Callithrix jacchus: one gene and its partners. The protein of the gene in region 4 interacts with the protein of the main gene of each other region in a biochemical or structural test. Links are inferred from orthologs where the notes say so. Each region holds a gene or a part of one and is shown on either strand. Other genes may lie near its edges.

Region 1 (4,945 bases), on a different chromosome or scaffold from region 4:
CACTGCACTCCATCCAGCCTGGGCACAGAGCGAGACTCTATCTCAAAAACACACACAAACACATATATATATGTGTGTGTTTTTTAGAGAAGTAGGATCTTTCCTTGTTGCTTATACTGATCTCACTGTATAAGCAGCAAGGCAAGATCCCACTCCTGAACCAACCTATCCTCCTGTCTCAGCCTCCCAAAGCACTGAGATTGTAGGTGTGAGCCATTGTACCCAGCCTGGCTCACATTCTTACAGTTCACTAAAGGTACAGGGCTCTTAGATGGAAAATGAATGTCATGAGGAGATTTCCTTTTTTAAAGCTTGTCTTTCAGTGGAGCTGGACTGATATAATGTCATTTGCCACATCTTGAAGTAGATGGCAAATGACCTAGTGTAATACTTTGAATAGTATTTGAAATGTTCCTTTTTCTGATTATTAAGCTGGGGAAGAAGGCTTCCTTTTCAATTCCCCGTTTGTTTTATTGTGGTAAAACATAATATAAAATTAAATTTAGCATTTTATCCCCCCCTTTTTTTTTTGAGACAGAATTTTGCTCTGTCGCCCAGGCTGGAGTGCAGTGCGCGATCTCAGCTCACTGCAATCTCCGCATTCTGGGTTCAAGCGTTTCTCCTGCCTCAGCTTCTAGAGTAGCTAGGATTACAGGATGTGCCATGATGCCTGGGTATTTTTTGTATTTTGGTAGAGACAGGGTTTCACCATGTTGGCCAGGCTGGTCACAAACTTCTGACCTCAAGTGATCTGCCCACCTCGGCCTCCCAAAGTGCTGGGATTACAGGTCGGAGCCACCACGCCCAGCCCCATTTTTAAGTGTGCAGTTCAGTGCCATTAAGAACATTTATGCTGTTGTGTGACCATAACCGCCATCCATCTTCAGAACTTTTAAATTTTCCCCAAATGAAGCTCTATATCCATCAAACATTAATTCCTCGTTCTTTCCTTCCCCTCCTCTGGCAATCACCATTCTACTTTCTGCCTCAGTGAATTTGACTACCCCAGGAACCTCACATAAGCAGACTCATATAGTGTTTGTCATTTTCTAACTGACTGATTTAACTCTTTTTTTGAGATGGAGTCTGGTTCTGTTGCCCAGGCTGGAGTGCACTGGCATGCTCTCGGCTCACTGAAACCTCCGCTTCTTGGGTTCAAGCAATTCTCCTGCCTCAGCCTCCTGAGTAGCTGGGATTACAGGCACTCACCACCACACCCAACTAATTTTTGCATTTTTAATAGAGATGGGGTTTCGCCATGTTGGCCAGGCTGGTCTCGAGGTCTTGACCTCAGGTGATCTGCCCGCCTCTGCCTCCCAAAGTGCTGGGATTACAGGCGTGAGCCACTGCACCTGGCCTGATTACACTCTTTTTTAAAAATTCTTTATTTTTATTTATTTATTTTTAGAAACAGGGTCTTGCTTTGTCACTCAGATTGGAGTGCAGTGGTGCAATGATAGCTCACTGCAACCTCGAACTCCTAGGCTCATGTTGTTGAGCAGCTGGAACTATAGGTGCATACCACCATGCCAGCTAATTTTTAATTTTTTATAGAGATGGGGTCTTGCAGTGTTGCCCAGGCTGGTCTTGAACTCCTGGCCTCAAGTGATCCTCCTGGCTCAGGCTCCCAAAGCTCTGGGATTAACATGTGTGAGCCACCATGCCCAGTCTCCTCCCCCACCTTTTTTCTTTTAAATTCTGCCTTGTATGTTTTATTACTCCCTAGCAGGGACTATTCCTTACTACAAACTTGATTTTCTTGGAGATTTAATTATACATTTGCATGCCACCCTTCTTAGCTGTTTGTATATGATCTTTGCTTTTTTTTTTTTTTTGAGATGGAGTTTCACTCTGTCCCCAGGCTGGAATACTATGTCATGATCTCAGCTCACTACAACATCTGCCTCCTGGGTTCAAGCGATTCTTCTGCCTCAACCTCCTGAGTAGCTGGGACTACAGGCACCTGCCACCACACCTAGCTAATTTTTTATATTTTTAGTATAGACAGGATTTCACCATATTGGCAAGGCTGTTCTCGAACTCTTGACCTTGTGATCCACTCACCTGGGCCTCCCAAAGTGCTGGGATTACGGGCGTGAGCCACTGCGCCTGGCCCTGATCTTTGCATTTTTACTCTACTGAAGGAAAACTTTAGTCATCGGAAGTGATTCCATGGAATATTTTTTTTCTTTATTTTTAGAATGAACTCTTTATTGAATCAGGATTTTACGTTATTATATGCTAAGTACAACACTGGATCCTATCTTTGTCTAGTAGTGCATGTCTTCTCAAAAATAAAAGTGCAAAATTTAAAAAAAATGAACAAAAGAAATACAAATAAAAGTGCAAATTCTGCTCTCTACTGGGTGCAGTGACTCATGCCTGTAATCCCTGCACTTTGGGAGGCTGAGGCGGGCAGATCACCTAAGGGTCAGGAGTTCGAGTCCAGCCTGGCTAACATGGCGAAACCCTGTGTTTACTAAAAATACAAAAATTAGTCGGACGTGGTGACCAGTGCCTGTAATCTCAGCTACTCAGGAGGCCGAGGCAGGTGAATCACTTGAAGCTGGGAGGCAGAGGCTGCAGTGAGCCGAGATTGTAACATTTTACTCCAGCCTATGTGACAGAGCAAGACTCTGTCTTTTTTTTTTTTTTTGAGACGGAGTTTCGCTCTTGTTACCCAGGCTGGAGTGCAATGGCACGATCTCGGCTCACCACAACCTCCGCCTCCTGGGTTCAGGCAATTCTCCTGCCTCAGCCTCCTGAGTAGCTGGGATTACAGGCACGCGCCACCATGCCCAGCTAATTTTTTGTATTTTTTAGTAGAGACGGGGTTTCACCATGTTGACCAGGATGGTCTCGATCTCTTGACCTCATGATCCACCCGCCCTGGCCTCCCAAAGTGCTGGGATTATAGGCTTAAACCACCGCGCCCGGCCGAAGACTCTGTCTTAAAAAGAAAAAAAAAATCTGCTCTCATCTGGATCTCCCCAAAGAGAAAGCCTAAGAATGCATGCATCAAACAGGTTGCTGGTAGCCGAGAAGAGAGGCCAGTTCATGGCAATTGTGAACATTTTTGCAGTCTTTTCCATTCAAAGGTAACTCAGCCTTTCTCCTTTCAGGTGGTATAAATTGACGTCCAAACCAGGAAAGAAAGACAAGGAGCGAGGAGAAATTGAAGTTGACATTCAGTTTATGAGAAACAACATGACTGCCAGCATGTTTGACCTTTCCATGAAAGACAAGTCTCGGAATCCTTTTGGAAAACTGAAGGACAAGATCAAGGGGAAGAAGAAGGACAGTGGGTCGGACACCGCCTCTGCCATCGTCCCCAGCACAACACCCTCAGTTGACAGTGATGATGAGTCTGTGCCCAAAGACAAGAAAAGGAAATCAAAGATCAAGACCCTATTTTCCAAGTCGACTCTGCAGAAAACGCCCCTTTCCCAGTCCATGTCTGTCCTGCCGACTTCAAAGCCAGAAAAAGTGCTGCTTCGTCCCAAAGACTTTCAGTCCCAGTGGGACGAAGATGACAATGAGGATGAGTCTTCCTCGGCCTCAGACGGTGAGTTTCCGTATCTTCCCTCTTGACCTCTCTTCCTCCACTTAGCCTGCTTCGTTCTGAGAGAGAAGAAACGGACAAATCTTAAGATAAAGAGTTTAATTCAATTCCTCAGTTACAAAATCGTGGTGGCAGTGGTAATGATAATGGTGAGTAATCCTGGTTAAGATACCCTCTCTGACCAGGTACAGTGGCTCACGCCTGTAATCCCAGCACTTAGGGAGGCTGAGGCAGGCAGATCACCTGGGATCAGGAGTTCAAGACCAGCCTGGCCAACATGGCAAAACCCCATCTCTACAAAAATACAAAAATTAGCTGGGTATGGTGGTGTTTGCCTGTATTCCCAGCTATTCGGGAGGCTGAGGCAGGACAATTGCCTGAACCCAGGAGGCAGGGGTTGCAGTGAGCCGAGATTGCACCATTGCACTCCAGCTTGGGTGACAGATGGAGACTTCGTCTCAAAAAAATCAAAACAAAAAAACAAATGATGCCCTCTCTAAGGCCAGGCATGGTGGCTCACTCCTGTAATCCCGGCACTTTGGGAGGCCAAGGGAGGCAGATCTCTTGAGCCCAGGAGTTCAAGACCAGCCTGGGCAACTTGGTGAAACCCTGTCTCTACAAAACATATAAAAATTAGCCAGGTGTGATGACACATGCCTGTAGTCCCAGCTACTCAGGAGGCTGGGGTAGGAGGATTGCTTGAGCTCGTGAAGTAGAGGCTGCAGTAAGCTGTGATCATGCCACCACACTCCAGCCTGGGTGACAGAATGAAAAAAAAAAAGATGCCCTATTTCTTTTTATTTTAAATATTTTTTGTTTGTTTGTTTTAGAGGCAGGGTCTGCTCTGTTGCCCAGGCTGGAGTGTAGTGGCGCAATCATAGCTTACTGCAGCCTCCAACTCCTGGGCTCAAGGGATCCTCCCACCTTGGCCTCCTGAGGAGCTGGGACTACAGGTGTGCACCATCACACCTGGCTAATTAAAAAAAAAATTTTTTTTTCTTAGAGATGAGGTCTCACTATTTTGCCCAGGCTGAAACTCCTGGCCTCAAGCAATCCTCCTGCCTCAACCTCTTAAAGTGTTGGTATGACAGTTGTGAGCCACTGCACACAGCTGAGATGCCCTCTCTATTTCTAAGCCCTCTGGTTTCTAAAAAGGCGGAAATTCCTTTTCTAGAGTGTTTGGCTCTATAACTTATGTCCATTAGTACAAGCTTTTAGAGCTAACAGAATGAGTGTCTCCAAGATTTTTTTTTTTTCAAGAGCAAAACCATGGAACCTTATAGTAATTCTGCTATTTCATTAATTCATCAGGTAGTTATTTAGTTCCTATGATGTGATTAACCCTCATGGGATATAGCCCATCAGAAGCCAAGGAATCTGGTT
Region 2 (4,945 bases), on a different chromosome or scaffold from region 4:
GAAACTGTGTCCCAGGCTCCTCCCAACTTGTGAGGCGCACAGTAAGAAGTGCCTCCCACATGGGCCAAGTTCCTGCCCAGGGTTGCCCACTAGAGACTCAGCATCCTGGGTGTTTACTGGGGGTGGGTCCTGTCAGCATTGTCTGCCAGGCAGGTACCTAAATCTCTGACTCCCAGCAGCAGAGTGGGTGCTCATGGCAATGATGTGTCTACAAACAGCCCAGGTGCAGGGACCTTGGGCCTGCTGGTTACTCTCTTTTGAAAAGGGGTCTTGGTTCTTCAAAGTGGGACCATTGGGTCAAAGGTCAGGGAGGTTTTCGTGGTTCTTACTCGGCCCTGCTTCTACCGTCCAGACAGATGAATCAGCTGCCACAGGGCCCCAGCCATCCCGGCACAGTAGGTGGTCAGAGCACACTTGGGGCAACCAGCAAGGCAAAGGGGAGGCGAGCTTGACTTGGGCTCTGATGGGCAGAGGGAGCCCAGGCAGGGTGTGGCGGCAGAGTGCGGGCAGGCACAGAGCGGAGAGAGCCAGGCAGCCAGACCTGTCAGGCGGAGTTGGGGTGACTGGAAGAGGGCTATGTCTACTGTGGCCAGAGGCCACCCAGGGTCTGCACAGAAGCACCCACCATCGTCCTGCAGTGGAGGCCGTGGAAGGGCTCGGAGCCGTGGGATGAGGCCAGAGCGTGGAAACTGCAGGTTAAGGGAACTGAGCCTCCACGCAGCGCATCTGGGATGCCAGCAGAGCTCCAGGCAGCAGCAGGGATGGGGCCGAGGCCTGGTCTGCATTGAGTTCAGTGCTTGTACACCCCGGTGGGCTGTGTCTCACTTGTAGAACGGTCTCTCCTGACCCTCTCCACAGAGACTGCTTTTGCTGGGGCCTCCAGCAGCCCCCCATTGGAGTTCCGTGGGCAGTTCTGAGGGCTCCTGTCACCTGGCCCGGGCACTGCGGGTGTCCTCGTGTCTGGTGACAGTGTCTTCACCCTGCTGCCTTGCATTGGCTTATAGTCACAGGGTGTTCGGAGCAGACGCCTTCTGCCGATGCCCTGCGTGTAGCCGCTCCTCTCCCCCGTTCATCCTCCCTGAGTCTGCTCTTTCCCTGTGCCAGGGCTCGGGCGGCCAGTGAGCAGGTGCGGCAGCTAGAGAGCGAGCGTGAGGCGCTGCAGCAGCAGCACAGTGTGCAGGTGGACCAGCTGCGCATGCAGGGCCAGAGTGTGGAGGCTGCACTTCGCATGGAGCGACAGGCCGCCTCGGAGGAGAAGTGAGTCATGGGGGCAGGGCCGCATCACAGGGTCTTTGGTTCTACACTTGTTCTCAGCCAAAAGGCCAAGAAGCGGTGGGTCTATGGTCCTTTCTGCCTTCTGGGGAGTCCTTCATATTCTGTCTGTGGCTGTGGGCCCATTCTGTCACTTAGCTTTGCTAACAGTAGAGGCGACCATGATGACAACCAGTTTGTCTTTGATACAATCATGCCATCTGCTATCCAGACCACGTTTCACTGTGTGTCCACACATGGCCTTTTTTGTACTTCTTTTCTTAGCCACCAGGTCATTAGGGGACTTGTCCTTTCAAACCCCCTCCAGGCTGGGTGCTGTGGCTCATGCTTGTAATCCCAGCACTTTGGAAGGCCAAGGTAGGTGGATCACTTAAGCCTAGGAGTTCAAGACCAGCCTTGGCAACAGAAAGACAACAAAAATACCCCCAATGTCCCCTTCCTACCAGCATCCAACCTGTGGCCTCAGGTTCCTGTCCTTGGCGTGCCTTTTCAGTCCCCTTTAATTAGAACAGTTACCCGGCCTTTCTGAGTTGTTTGTGAAGTTCACAGTTTTGAAGAGTGCAGGGTAGTTCAGTTGTATTGTTGTTACTGTTATATTATTACTACTATTATTTTCAAGAGAGGGTCTTGCTCTATCGTCCAGGCTGGAGTGCAGGAGCATTATCTCGGCTTACTGTGGGCTTACCTAGTGCCTCGTGGGCTCAAGCAATCTTCCCACCTCAGCCTCCGAAGTAGCTGGGACTGCAGGCGCAGGCTGCCACACCCGGCTAACTTTTGTATTTTTGGTAGACTTGGAGTTTTGCCATGTTGCCCAGGCTGGTCTCAAACTCTTGAGCTCAAGCCAACCTCCTGCCTTGGCTTCTCAAAGTATGGGAATTATATCTGGCCATGATTTTATTATAAATATTTAAACATGTTAGCTTTAAGGAAAATGATATTAACTTCCTGGTGACTGGACCAGCAAAGCCTGCCTCAGAGCCAACAGCTTCAGGAATCCTCACCCAGCCTTGGAAGACCCCACTCCAGGCCTGGGATGCACAGGAGGGACAGGCGGGTAGAGGTGGAAGCAGGCGGAACTGTGGCAGGACTGGCCTGAGGTGGTTTCTCCAGCGCATGCCACTTTTCCTCAGGCGGAAGCTGGCTCAGTTGCAGGTGGCCTATCACCAGCTCTTCCAAGAATACGACAACCACATCAAGAGCAGTGTGGTGAGCAGCGAGCGGAAGCGAGTGAGTGCGGCCGCCGGGGCTCTAGGGCTAGCCCTGCCTCTTCCTCTCCCCACATCCCTGAACCTTGAGAGTGGGCATTTGGTAGGGATCCTTGACTTGCCCTAGACCTTTGTCAGGCTGCAGCTGTGACAGCTCAGGGAAGCTGTAGGGAGATGGCGACCCTGGGATGTTGCTCTCAGGAATGTTGGCAGGCCACCATAATGGGGGGCTGGGGCAGAGCCTCAGGATGCGTCCTCTATGGGGCTGGGGATATCTTATCTCTGTGGATATTCCCTCTTGCCAGCCATCAGCATCTGCGCTCCTGGCTCAGTTTCCCCCAAGCCAAGGTAAGCCCGGCAACGTTTCCACCCCAATGTTGGCTAGGAGCCTTTTCCTAGTTTGTCCTCCTCGGACCTAAGCTGGGTGCAGTTTGCTAGTGATCCCATTTTAGCAGGACACTGTCAAAGCTTGAAGCAAGGTCACATGAGGAAGAGTTAGTGACACAAGTGGCCACATAATCTCTGGAGGGAAGGGTTGGCAGTGTGTGTCTGTGTGTGTGGGGGGGCTGGCGATGCCGGTGTGGGATGAGCGCACCTCTGACCAGGTGCAGAGTGGAAAGGGCGAGGGCTCTCAGTTCAGCCGTGCATGCAGCAGGCACGGGCCAGCTCGCTGTGCATGGGCATGGCCCATGTCCTGTGAAGGGTGGGAGGAGGGCTGTGCAGCTGGGGATTCTGGGAAGGGAATGTCCGCCCAGCTGGGAGGTTGTGCCAGGTGACCTCAGTGTGGCCTCTTTGGTCCTGAAGAAAACCTCAGCATCTGCTCTGTCCTTTTGGGCCGCAAGAGGATGCGGTCTTCTCCCTATTCATGCTGAGATCCTGCAGCGGGCCCTAAAATCAAGCGGCTGGCATCGCCCAGCTTGGTCAGCCAGGGCCACTGTTTTGTCCTTCTCAGTTCCCTGCCAGTTCCGCCCTCGGCCAACGAGGGTCCGTCAGCTCCCCTTGCCTGTCTTTAGGGAATGCAGCTGGAAGATCTCAAGCAGCAGCTCCAGCAGGCTGAGGAGGCCCTGGTGGCCAAACAGGAGCTGATCGATAAGCTGAAGGAGGAGGCCGAGCAGCACAAGATGGTGATGGAGACGGTTCCGGTGCTGAAGGCGCAGGTCAGGGCTCTCCTCTCTGGCCCGCCCTCCTGCTGGGACCTGCTGTGTCTCTTTGGTGTCTTTCTGTGTGTGTGTGTTTTCTTTTTGAGATGGATTTTTGCTCTTGTTGCTTAGGCCAGAGTGCAATGGCAGGATCTCAGCTCACTGCAATCACCGCCTCCTGGGTTGAAACCATCCTCTTGCCTCAGCCTCCCAAGTAGCTGGGATTACAGGCGCTCTCCACCAGCCCCGGCTAATTTTTGTATTTTTAGTAGAGACCGGGTTTCACGATTTTGGCCTGGCCGCTCTCAATCTCTTGACTTTGTGATCCACCCACTCCAGCCTCCCAAAGTGCTGAGATGACAAGCATGAGCCACCATGCCTGGCCTGTTTGGCGTCATTTTGTGGTGGCCTTTCGTAAGCTTCTCAGCCACTTGTGCTGCTCCTTGACCTCTCAGTGCACTTGGTGTCACTTGCAGACATATCTGTTTCCTTTGTGCCTGTCACAGTGCTCAGTGGGTGGCTGGCTTGTGGTGGGCACATCGCTCTCTCTTGGATTTGCCAGGCGGACATCTACAAGGCGGACTTCCAGGCTGAAAGGCAGGCCCGGGAGAAGCTGGCTGAGAAGAAGGAGCTGTTGCAGGAGCAGCTGGAGCAGCTGCAGAGGGAGTACAGCAAATTGAAGGCCAGCTGTCAGGAGTCGGCCAGGTGGGCCTCTGAGAGTCTGCCCCTGTGAGCAGTGGGTGCAACACTAGGGGGTTGCCAGTGGTGACTGCAGGAGATGGATGGCTTCTGGCGTTCTGGGTTAGGACTCACTGCGGCCCCTCTCCTCTCACCTGAGCTTCCAAGAGCTTCTCTGACACTAGTCCAGCCATGGAGCTTTACAGAAGCATGTGCCTTGACTGGACGGTTTCTGTTTTCAAAGGATTGAGGACATGAGGAAGCGGCATGTAGAGGTCTCTCCGACCCCCTTGCCCCCTGCACCCGGTGAGTGAGCAAGCATTGGGCCTGCGGGAGGAGGGGGAGGTGGGTGGGGAGGGCGGGCGCTGTGCTGCAGGAGGTCACAGCTGGACCTTCCTGTCGCTCTCCGGAGTCTTGACAGCGGGAGCTCGCACTGGTCACCCCATCGGTAGCCCAGCCCCTGACCTGAGGCTAAGGGAGGCCTGCAGGCCTGTCTCACAGTCCCTCCAAGTCTCCGTCCTCTCCATCCTCCCCTCGCTTCAGACTCTTCTCTTTTCCCAGCCCACCACTCCTTTCTCCTGGCTCAGCCCAACCAGAGGAGGAGCCCCCCTGAGGAGCCACCTGACTTCTGCTGTCCCAAGTGCCAGTATC
Region 3 (4,945 bases), on a different chromosome or scaffold from region 4:
CAGGACAAAGGAAACAGGCCAGCTCAGGACCCGGCCCGCCTGCCCCCTGAGGATATGCTTAGGTTGGTTCTACCACTTTTGACCTCAAATGCTATCCTAGACCAAGGGGCCACCTGGAGGACACCGAAGACCCCAGGTCGGAGTAGACGTTGGTCCTGGTCTCGTCGTCGGGGCAAGGGCTGCTGGGGGCACAGTCCACGTCGTCACCCTCCCCATAGTCTTCAAACTGCTCCTCGTTGCTGATGAGCGAGGTGGTAGAGTGTGTAGAAAGGTCCGAAGTTGTCATGGACGGAGTGAGGACCAGGGACCTGAGGGTCAGAGGAGGACTCATGGGCCCCCATCCACAGCCGCGGTGGGGAGGCTGACCAGGCATTTCCCTTTAACTGGCGCTACCGATCAAGTCTGTACCTCTTGACTTGTTTTTTTTTTTTTGAGACGGAGTCTTGCTCGGTCTGCCAGGCTGGAGTACAGTGGCACAATCTCGGCTCACCGCAACCTCCACCTCCTGGGTTCAAGCGATTCTTCCACCTCAGCCTCCTGAGTAGCTGGGACCAAAGGCATGTGCCACCACACCTGGCTAATTTTTGTATTTTTAGTAGAGACGGGGCTTCACCATGTTGGGCAGGATGGTCTCAATCTCTTGACCTTGTGATCCACCCATCTCAGCCTCCCAAAGTGTTGGGATTACAGGCGTAAGCCACCGCGCCCGGCCCTCTTGACCTGTTAAATACATTTTGGGGACCCTATCTAAAGGGAAACATCTTGCCACATAAACCGTTACTGCAGTTGAAATCAATTCTACCCATGCTACGCTAGAGTAGCAAAACATTGCTTACAACCTAAGTGTCTAGCTACAGCTAAACCAAATTATAATTATTAAATTATAATGCTAGTAAATTATTAAATCGTGGAATATCAAATCGTTGTTGAAAGATGTGTTAAAACATTGGGAGTAATATAGAAAATGAATATAAATATAAATAGATCTAAACTTTTAGCTACTGTAACACTGAGTATGGTTGTCCCTTGGTATCCGAGAGGGATTTGTTCCAGGACCCCCCGTGGACACCAAACTCTGAGGATGCTCAAGTCCCAGGTATGAAATGGCATAGTATTCACATACAACCTATGCACATCCTCCTGCATCCTCTAAATCCTCTCTAGATTACTTATAATACCTAACACAATGTAAATGCTATGGAAATAGTTGTTATACTGTATTATTTTTTAAGTTTATCTTTTTTTTTTTTTGAGACATAGGCTCATTGTCGCCCGGCCAGAGTGCAGTGGCGATATCTCAGCTCACTGCAGTTTCTGCTTTCCAGATTCTAGTGCTTCACCTACCTCAGCCTCCAGAGTAGCTGTGAGTAGCCTCCCAAGTAACCTCCTGCCACCACGTCCAGCTAATTTTGTAATTTTAGTAGAGACGGGGTTTTTGTCATGTTGGCCAGGCTGGTCTCAAACTCCTGGCCTCAGGTGATCTGCCCACCTCGGCCTCCCAAAGTGCTGGGATTACAGGCTACTCCCAGAAAGCAGCACGGCCCCTCTCTCCATCCACAGCTTCAAAGGGCCCCATCAAGAACATCCGGACTCTGACATGTACTAGGTTGAACTACATGAAATTACCTTATTTTGAAGATGGAAATGATTAAAAGCTGTCAATTTTATATGGTTCAACCAACCCTGGAACCCCTCTCTTCTCTCCCTCCAAGTCCCTGCAGCAGCCATAACCATCACCTTCTTCTGGTAAGGGGCTGCCACTTACAATCCCCTCAGCTTCCTCAGCCACAGTGGTGGTGGCTTCCCACCACCCACAGCACTGTATTCCTCAAGAGTCTTGGCGAGGGCTGAAAATGGAAAGGAATCCTTTCTGCCGACACCAAAGTTAAAGATGACACTGCTTCCCTGGGAAGTCACTTAGGTCTTAATATTGCTTTTAAATAACATTTCTGATTATGGGAGTACATGCTTAATGTAGAAAATATAACAGAGTAGATGGGAGGTAATTAAAATGATCATTCTACCATACAGAAATAACTGCTTAGTTTTCTAGATTAATTTTTTCTAGGCATTTCCTAACATACATGTCTATGTTTTGTTTTTCAGAAATGGGGTCTTGCTATACTGCCCAGGCTGGAGTGCAGTGGTTATTCACAGGTGTGATCTCACTACTGATCAGCACACAAGTTTTGACCTGCTCTGTTTCTGACCTGGGCCAGTTCATCCCTCCTTAGGCAACCTGGTGGTGCCCCACTCCTGGGAGGTCATCATACTGATGCTAAACTTAGTGCAGACACCCACCCGATCGGCATTGTGCACTAGAATCCAGAAGATTCTCCTGCCTCAGCCTCCCAAGTATCTGGAACTACAGGCACGTGCCAATTGCCTGGCATAGGTTTGTGTTTTTAACAAAGCTGATCTTACGGATATCTTGCATATCTTTGCAACCTACCTTTTTTTTTTTTTAAAAAAAGACAGGGTCTTGCTCTTTTGCTAGGCTGGAATACAGTGATGTGATCACAGCTCACTGTAATCTTACATTCATGGGCTCCAGTGATTGTCCTGACTTGGCCTCCCAAAGTCCTGGGGTTACAGGTTGTGCCTGGCCACAACCTGCTTTTTAAAACAATGAGATCATATATCTCATATCATTAACTAGTCATTTAAAACTTGACTTTGGCCAGGCATGGTGGCACTTTGGGAGGCCAAAGTGGGTGGATTGTGAGGTCAGGAGTTTGAGACCAGCTTCACCAACATGGTGAAACCCGGTCTCTACTAAAAATATAAAAATTAGCTGGGCATGGTGACATGCACCTGTAATCCCAGCTAATCAGGAGGCTGAGGCAGGAGAATCACTTGAACCCAGGAAGCAGAGGTTGCAGTGTGCCGAGATTGTGCCACCGTACTCTAGCCTGGGCAACAGAGCGAGACTCTGTCTCAACAATAAATAAATAAGTAAATCTTGACTTTGTCTATAGGACTAGGACTGAAAATAAAGTAAAATTAAATTTAAAACCTTGACTTTGCATTGCTGCCTAAAATTCCAAATTTAGAATCTTCTGCTTAGAATCTTAGAATCTTCTGCTATTCAGAATACCCATGATGCTAATGCCTCTGACACAAATTTTGAGCACATTTCACATTTACTTCCTGGAGACACTTTCTAAGAGCCACATTTCTGGGCCAAGAGGCAAATACTAAGCTTCAGGCGGTTTTAACTCACTTGTCCTCTGGCAGAAACAGGCCCCCGAGTCCCCCGTCCTTCTCGGCGGGACTCCCAACAGACCCCTCCAGGCTCTGAGTGCTCTCCATGGGGCTGTCTGTGTCCAACTCCTGGGGGCCCTCAGGCGGGGCCAGCGTCATAGCCTCCTCCTCGTCCTCGGGAAAAAAGCCGGGCTCCCTGGGGATGAGCTCGCCATCAGCAAAGGTGGGGCCTGTGACGTCGATGCCCTGGGAAAGACAGAGGGGAAGATGAGTGAGGCCAGCTTCCCAGGGGTCAGTGTTCCAATCAGACTGCAAGGGCATCAGCCAGGCCTAAACAGCAGGGATTGGGTACAGGAGGCCCAGACCCCAAGACCCTAAGTGTGGGAACACCTGGCAGGTGATTAGTCCCAAGGACCTCTCATACTGGCTGACTCATGAGCATCTAGTGAGGAGGTGGAACTCTCAGAAATGGCCATCCACAAAGAAGGGCCACAGTCAGGCCAGCCACATCATTCAGGGCACCCTGGCACATCAAAGCCCCAGCTGAGGCAGAATAGGGTCTGGAGGCAGGGAACATAAGGTTGATTCACACTGATTTCCTACAGCTAAATCAAAGGAAAACCCCAACTTTCCACACCCAACTAACCACTTCCTTTGCATTCCCTGCCACCCCTCACCACCCTCCACCCCACCACCCGCACCCTCCACCTTTTCTGTCTGGCAGATGAAAACTGAAAGTATCTCTGATTGGTCCCTCCTGCAACCAATCAGGCTGGTCAAAGGTTGTCTTCATTTGCATAGGAGTATAATTTTGTAACTTCGCTTTAACCTCTGATCCATTGCTTTCCTCAATCAATCAGATGTTCACATAGGGTGTAACTTTGCAACTTCACTTCAGCCTCTGATTGGTCCTCTCCTGCAATCAAACTGATTGTGGGCCACTGCTTCATTTACATAGGGTATACACCAACTAACCAATGGGAAACCTCTAGATGGTATTTAAACCCCAGAAAATTCTGCAACCAGGCTGTTGAGCCCCTAAGCTTGGGTCTGCTCCCAACCTGTGGAGTGTACTTTTTTTTTTTTTCAATAAATCTCAGCTTTTGTTGCTTCATTCTTTCGTGTGTGTGTGTGTGTGTGTGCGCACACGCATTTTGTCTAATTCTTTGTTCAAGACACTAAGAACCTGGACACTCTCCACTGGTAACACCACCAGAAGTCTGCAGGAGGCCAAATGGCTTTGAGGCGGCTTCTTGGCGCTCCATGTAAGGGCACAGCCACACTGAATAGCTTTTAGGAGCAACAACCCTGGCCTAGTAGAGTTTGCTGCAACGTGGTATAGTGAAAGCTGCACAACTTGGGGTCACCCTCCATGACTCTGGGCACGTCACAAAATGTCTCTGAACCTCAGTTCTCCCCTGTAACTCAGAAATGGCAACAGAGCCTTACAGGATCACTGTGCTGATTCAATGAGGCTCTTCACATTAGCATCTAACACACAGTAGGGCCTCAATGAATAAACTCCAGTCAGAAGATGTGATGTCCAGCCCAGGAGGCAACCACCTATCTGGGCCCCACCACAGCCTTGCTGGGAGCAAGGATGCCAGGCCTCCCTTCTGAGCATTGCTTGTGCTGGGTCCAGGGCCCAGCATGATAATGGCATGTGTTAAGGACATCACACCTTTCGCTAAACACATCAGATAGAAGAGCTTTGGCTTAGTTCAGAGTTCACCCTAGACCC
Region 4 (4,630 bases):
ATCCCAGAAAGCAGTGTGGCACCAGCACCACCCAACCAGGAGAAAAGTCTCTCTGGCGCTAGTGTCATAGCTCTCTGACTGTTGCACTAACCCATCAAATGATGTGGTGGAAAAGGATCCTTCCACAATCTTTGTGCATTCTTTTACACAGCAAATGGGAGCCATACATAACCTTTCACAAAATTCATTTTTTAACTTTTTTTCCGGGTTTATCTGTGAAACATCAAGAAAATCAATTTATATTTTTTCCTGTTAAAACAAAGCCCCCAAAATTGAAACCTAGCAGGTTAGAATAAGTTGTTAATTGTCCACTCAGCCTTTGAATTCTTTCACTTCTGGTATTGGCCAAAACTGTCTAAATGGTACAGCTTCTTCTCTAAGGTAGACAGAAGCGATTATCGCAATAGCACAAACCACTGAAAGCATTTGTATTTTATAAATACAAGTCAGCAAAGACAAAAATTAAGATATTCATTTTCTCAATGATCAAGGACATGTGGCTAGCTCTGATGGGCAATCCAAACTCACGAAGTCTAATTTTCTGCAGAACCCTTCAGAACTTAAAAGATCACTAATGTAAGGTCACTAGCTGGCACCTCTTCTTATAATTACAATTTAGCATATTCAATGCAATGGCTAATAACTGACCCTTACATAATGACAACTACTATTAAAGAGAAATCATAGCATTTGAGAACAATGACAGAAGATTAAATCAAGGCACTATGGCTGACTTTTCAGAAGACTACCTAAAAGGTTAAAAAAATTCAAAGTTAAATAACTGAAAATCGAGGTTAAGTAGCAAAATACTTCTAAATTGCCTCAAGCCTTGAATTGTCACAACATTTTAAAATTTTTTGTTTCTTGCTTGAGACAGTTTGTCTCCTAATATACTACTCAGAATAAAGATAATTGTTAAAATGCAATCAAAGTCATTTTCTAATACTTAGTATTCCTTGGAATTCTCCCAAGATCCAACCATACCCAAGGCAACATTTAAGTCTACACTGGGGTAAAAATCCTAAGTTACTTTATTTATTTTCAATTTACTATTTAGTTTTTCTCTTTTCTTACTTTGTAAAAAAATTTACCACCAACTTTCAATAAAATGGAGATGGACTATTTTCCTGGGTATGGTGACACTGTTATATATGAAAGTACACACTACTTTCCTAATGTTTTGGAACATACTTTTTCCAAGAAGAGCATAATTGAACTGCAGGTCTAAAATCAAAGCTGAATTCACACACTGATGCTGTCAATTCAATGTTTACTCAGTAATGCAAGAACCTATGCTTTTACATCAGGATTCCACAGCTGCATCCAAAGCACTCAAAGGAAAAATGTAATCTGACAACATTAGAAATAATCCCCCTATAACTGTTTATTAGAATGTGAATATATTCCAAATCAATTACTAAAAAAAAAAAAAAATCAAATTACAGAGCATGCATAAAATACAAAGTAGCAATTTACAAATAGATATTATCTTCATAACCAACACACTAAAATAATAAAATGGCTATAGAAGAAAACCAAAATGACTGACTACAGCAATGCCTTCCATGTGCCCCACACATCATGAGCACCGCAAAAGACAAAAGATTAACTATGAAATATAGTAATCTAAGCAAGCCCACACATACATAGTTTTGGGGATTTCCCTTCCCACCATCCTGAATAGTATCACTGCAGTTGACACAACTTCCAGAAAACTGCAGAGTAAGTACTTAATATTATCCACGAGAAAGCAAAACTAAGTATCAGTGTGCACATTTCTGAATGAGAAACTAATTGCTTCACTGATTTCAACAATGTAGTGGAAGAAAACTATTGCAGGTCTCCACAATGCCTAAATGCATTCTATTTAAACTCAAGGTACTAATTCATTTTGCATACTAAAAGAATACATGCCTTTAAGTGGTACCACTTGAGCAGAAATTAACCTCTCACTGTATTCTTTAGACATACTGAAACCAAGATTTAACTGGACTGTATTCCATAATATACTGCAAAACTCAAAATATTAGCATTGTTAAAATAATTATCCATGCCTGCTGGTGGATATGGTGATAAAACTAGGTTGCATTTCACTTACTGGAAGGTTTTAAGACAAAATTAACACTTCAAATTTTGATACTACCAGCATTAAACCAGTTATTGCCTGAGCAATAAAATGCCACATAATCTACTGCTTGGAAATTATTATAGATCATTTAAATGTTCTGGGCTGCCTGATCATTGCAACAGAGGCACCTGAGATGGAATTCCACAAGTCTCTCCAGTTCAAGCCTGACAGGCAGCACTGTTTAACTTATGGCCCCATAACCATATTACTAATGAAACCGTAACAATCTTGTGTTTATTAAGAGAATTCTTCTCCAGAAAAAGTGCCCCCTTCTCTAATCAACTTTGACGCTTACAAAAATTTAAAAACAAAATTTACTCAACTACATAAACCCATTAAGGCATTTTAGAAATTGATGTCCAGAACAATGGAAAATTGTCAAGCTCTCAAAATCTTGCTATGTTTATAGGGCAATTCATAGATTTGTGGAAATATACACTGCACTGAGAGAAGAGTGTATTACCTGTAAGCTGCTCTGTGGCAAAATGGTAGCTTATTTCTAAGGTCTTCTGAGTTTGATTTGATCAAGACCAATAGGTCTGAGCTTCAAGTGATCAAGTTCTATTATGTCCTACAATGACAGGCTTCCATGATGAAAAGTAAACAATAATTGAGGAATCCAAACATTCAGTTTATTAAACTAAGGCTAGTGAAGCCATAGCATGAAAAAAAAGCTGCAGTCATTCGGGACAAGTGGATGATTTTATAAAGCTAAAATCAAAAGACTTAAGACATGGAAAAATTCCTAAGTAGGAAGTAATAAAACACAAAGGTGACACAGGAATTACAAATATATTTAAATCTCAGACCTGGGAAATGGACTATACACAGCCTTCTAAGGGAGAAGAGAAATGCCTTAGATGTTCTGACAGCACTGCACCTTTGGCTTGTTTTCAGTGGTTGGTGGAACATGAATAGGAACCACATTGTTGCTTGGAGACATGTCATTTTCCCGTCTGTCTGACATTTGCTTCTGAGAAACGATGCGGTAAATCTCTGAAGGAAAAAAGAAACCACAAGACTTAGTGTGAATAAACCTATCAATAGGATAAAAGATACGTAGAGGTAGGAGATACACTTGCATCCAAGACCATAAGGAAATTAAACAGAATACATAAAGCTTTATTTTTCAAACAGCCACTGATTATAGTCAACCCCTTATTTTAACAATTGCCCTTGGGGTAAGATAAGAAACAAAAATTTTTCCATTTCAGAGGGAAAGGTTCACCCAGTCAATCTTTGTTTAAAGAAGTAAACCAGGTTGGGCTGTGGTAGCTCACACCTGTAATCCCAGCACTTTGGGAGGCCAAGGTAAGTGGAGGCCACCTCCCAGGTTCAAGTGATTCTCCTATTTCAGCCTCCCGAGTAGCTGGGACTACAGGCCTGTGTCACCACACCCGGCTAATTTTTGTATTTTTAGTAGAGACGGGGTTTCACCATGTTGGCCAGGCTGGTCTCAAACTCCTGACCTCAGGTGATCCACCCACCTCGGCCTCCCAAAGTGCTGAGATTACAGGCGTAAACTACCATGCCCACTGAGAATACCTTGTTCTTAAGAGATAAAATGTGTAAGTATTTAGTAGCAAAGTGCCACAATGTCTACAATTTACTTTCAAAGACTGAATAAGAGGTGAAACATACAGAAAGATTTTAAAATGTGGCAAAATGTTAACAGCTGATGATTCCAAAGGAAGATTCGTGTCCACTGTATTTATTCCATAACACTTGTAAATCTTTTAAAGTTATAGAGAAAAAAGAGAAAGATGCATATTTTTGAGCTGCTCTGAGAACGTATCAACCACCGTCAATAAAAAAGTTGATACAGGAAATTTTAATATTGCTTAGATAATAGGATAGGGAATTATTGCCAATTTTTCTTTCTTTCTATTTTTTATTGCCAATTAAGTGGTTTTGTTATGAGTTTACATTCTAATTTTTAGATATACATCCCAAAATGTCTACAAATGAAATGAAGTAATAGCTGGGATTTGTTTCAAAGTAATGGAGGAAGGAGGTAGAGGAAAGACTGGTTATTAGCTGGTGGTTGTTGATGGCTACAGGGGATTTCATGATACTATTCTGCTTTTGCGTTTCTTTTTTTTTTTCTTTTTGAGACAGAGTCTTGCTCTGTCACCCAGGCTCGAATGCAGTGGCGTGATCTTGGCTCACTGCAACCTCCACCTCCCAAGTTCAAGTGATTCTCCTGCCTCCACTTCCCAAGTAGCTGGGATTACAGTTGCATGCCACTACATCTGGCTAATTTGTGTATTTTTAGTAGAGATGGGGTTTCACCATGTTGGCCAGGCTGGTCTTGAACTCCTGACCTCAGGTGATCCACACGCCTGGGCCCCCCCAAAGTGCTGCAATTACAGGCACAGAGCCTAAATTCTTAATTCTGTAGTTGAAAGTTGTTTGGGGTTTTTTTTGGTTTGTTTGTTTGTTTTTTCAGACAGAGTCTCTTAGAAAAGAATGGGACCATAAAGAAAAAAGAAAAAAAAAAAT

The links.
Region 1: the proteins of RAB11A (region 4) and RAB11FIP1 form a complex in vitro, tested with the Homo sapiens proteins (2 studies listed by BioGRID, with this or other methods). The link is inferred for Callithrix jacchus from reciprocal best matches to the Homo sapiens genes RAB11A and RAB11FIP1.
Region 2: the proteins of RAB11A (region 4) and IKBKG are reported together in a solved structure, tested with the Homo sapiens proteins (2 studies listed by BioGRID, with this or other methods). The link is inferred for Callithrix jacchus from reciprocal best matches to the Homo sapiens genes RAB11A and IKBKG.
Region 3: the proteins of RAB11A (region 4) and RAB11FIP4 form a complex in vitro, tested with the Homo sapiens proteins (2 studies listed by BioGRID, with this or other methods). The link is inferred for Callithrix jacchus from reciprocal best matches to the Homo sapiens genes RAB11A and RAB11FIP4.

The regions. Positions count from the first base shown.
Region 1 is NC_133514.1:38,775,831-38,780,775, reverse strand, and holds part of RAB11FIP1 (rab11 family-interacting protein 1), read left to right. Parts: intron 1-3,122; coding exon 3,123-3,565; intron 3,566-4,945. UniProt on the Homo sapiens protein: A Rab11 effector protein involved in the endosomal recycling process. Also involved in controlling membrane trafficking along the phagocytic pathway and in phagocytosis. Interaction with RAB14 may function in the process of neurite formation.
Region 2 is NC_133524.1:150,351,450-150,356,394, forward strand, and holds part of IKBKG (NF-kappa-B essential modulator), read left to right. Parts: intron 1-1,104; coding exon 1,105-1,257; intron 1,258-2,402; coding exon 2,403-2,499; intron 2,500-3,490; coding exon 3,491-3,634; intron 3,635-4,178; coding exon 4,179-4,321; intron 4,322-4,538; coding exon 4,539-4,600; intron 4,601-4,855; coding exon 4,856-4,945. UniProt on the Homo sapiens protein: Regulatory subunit of the IKK core complex which phosphorylates inhibitors of NF-kappa-B thus leading to the dissociation of the inhibitor/NF-kappa-B complex and ultimately the degradation of the inhibitor.
Region 3 is NC_133506.1:102,619,533-102,624,477, forward strand, and holds part of RAB11FIP4 (rab11 family-interacting protein 4), read right to left. Parts: intron 3,451-4,945; coding exon 3,224-3,450; intron 309-3,223; coding exon 114-308; intron 1-113. UniProt on the Homo sapiens protein: Acts as a regulator of endocytic traffic by participating in membrane delivery. Required for the abscission step in cytokinesis, possibly by acting as an 'address tag' delivering recycling endosome membranes to the cleavage furrow during late cytokinesis.
Region 4 is NC_133509.1:12,897,490-12,902,119, reverse strand, and holds the end of RAB11A (ras-related protein Rab-11A), read right to left. Parts: intron 3,125-4,630; coding exon 2,985-3,124; 3' UTR 1,370-2,984; downstream 1-1,369. UniProt on the Homo sapiens protein: The small GTPases Rab are key regulators of intracellular membrane trafficking, from the formation of transport vesicles to their fusion with membranes.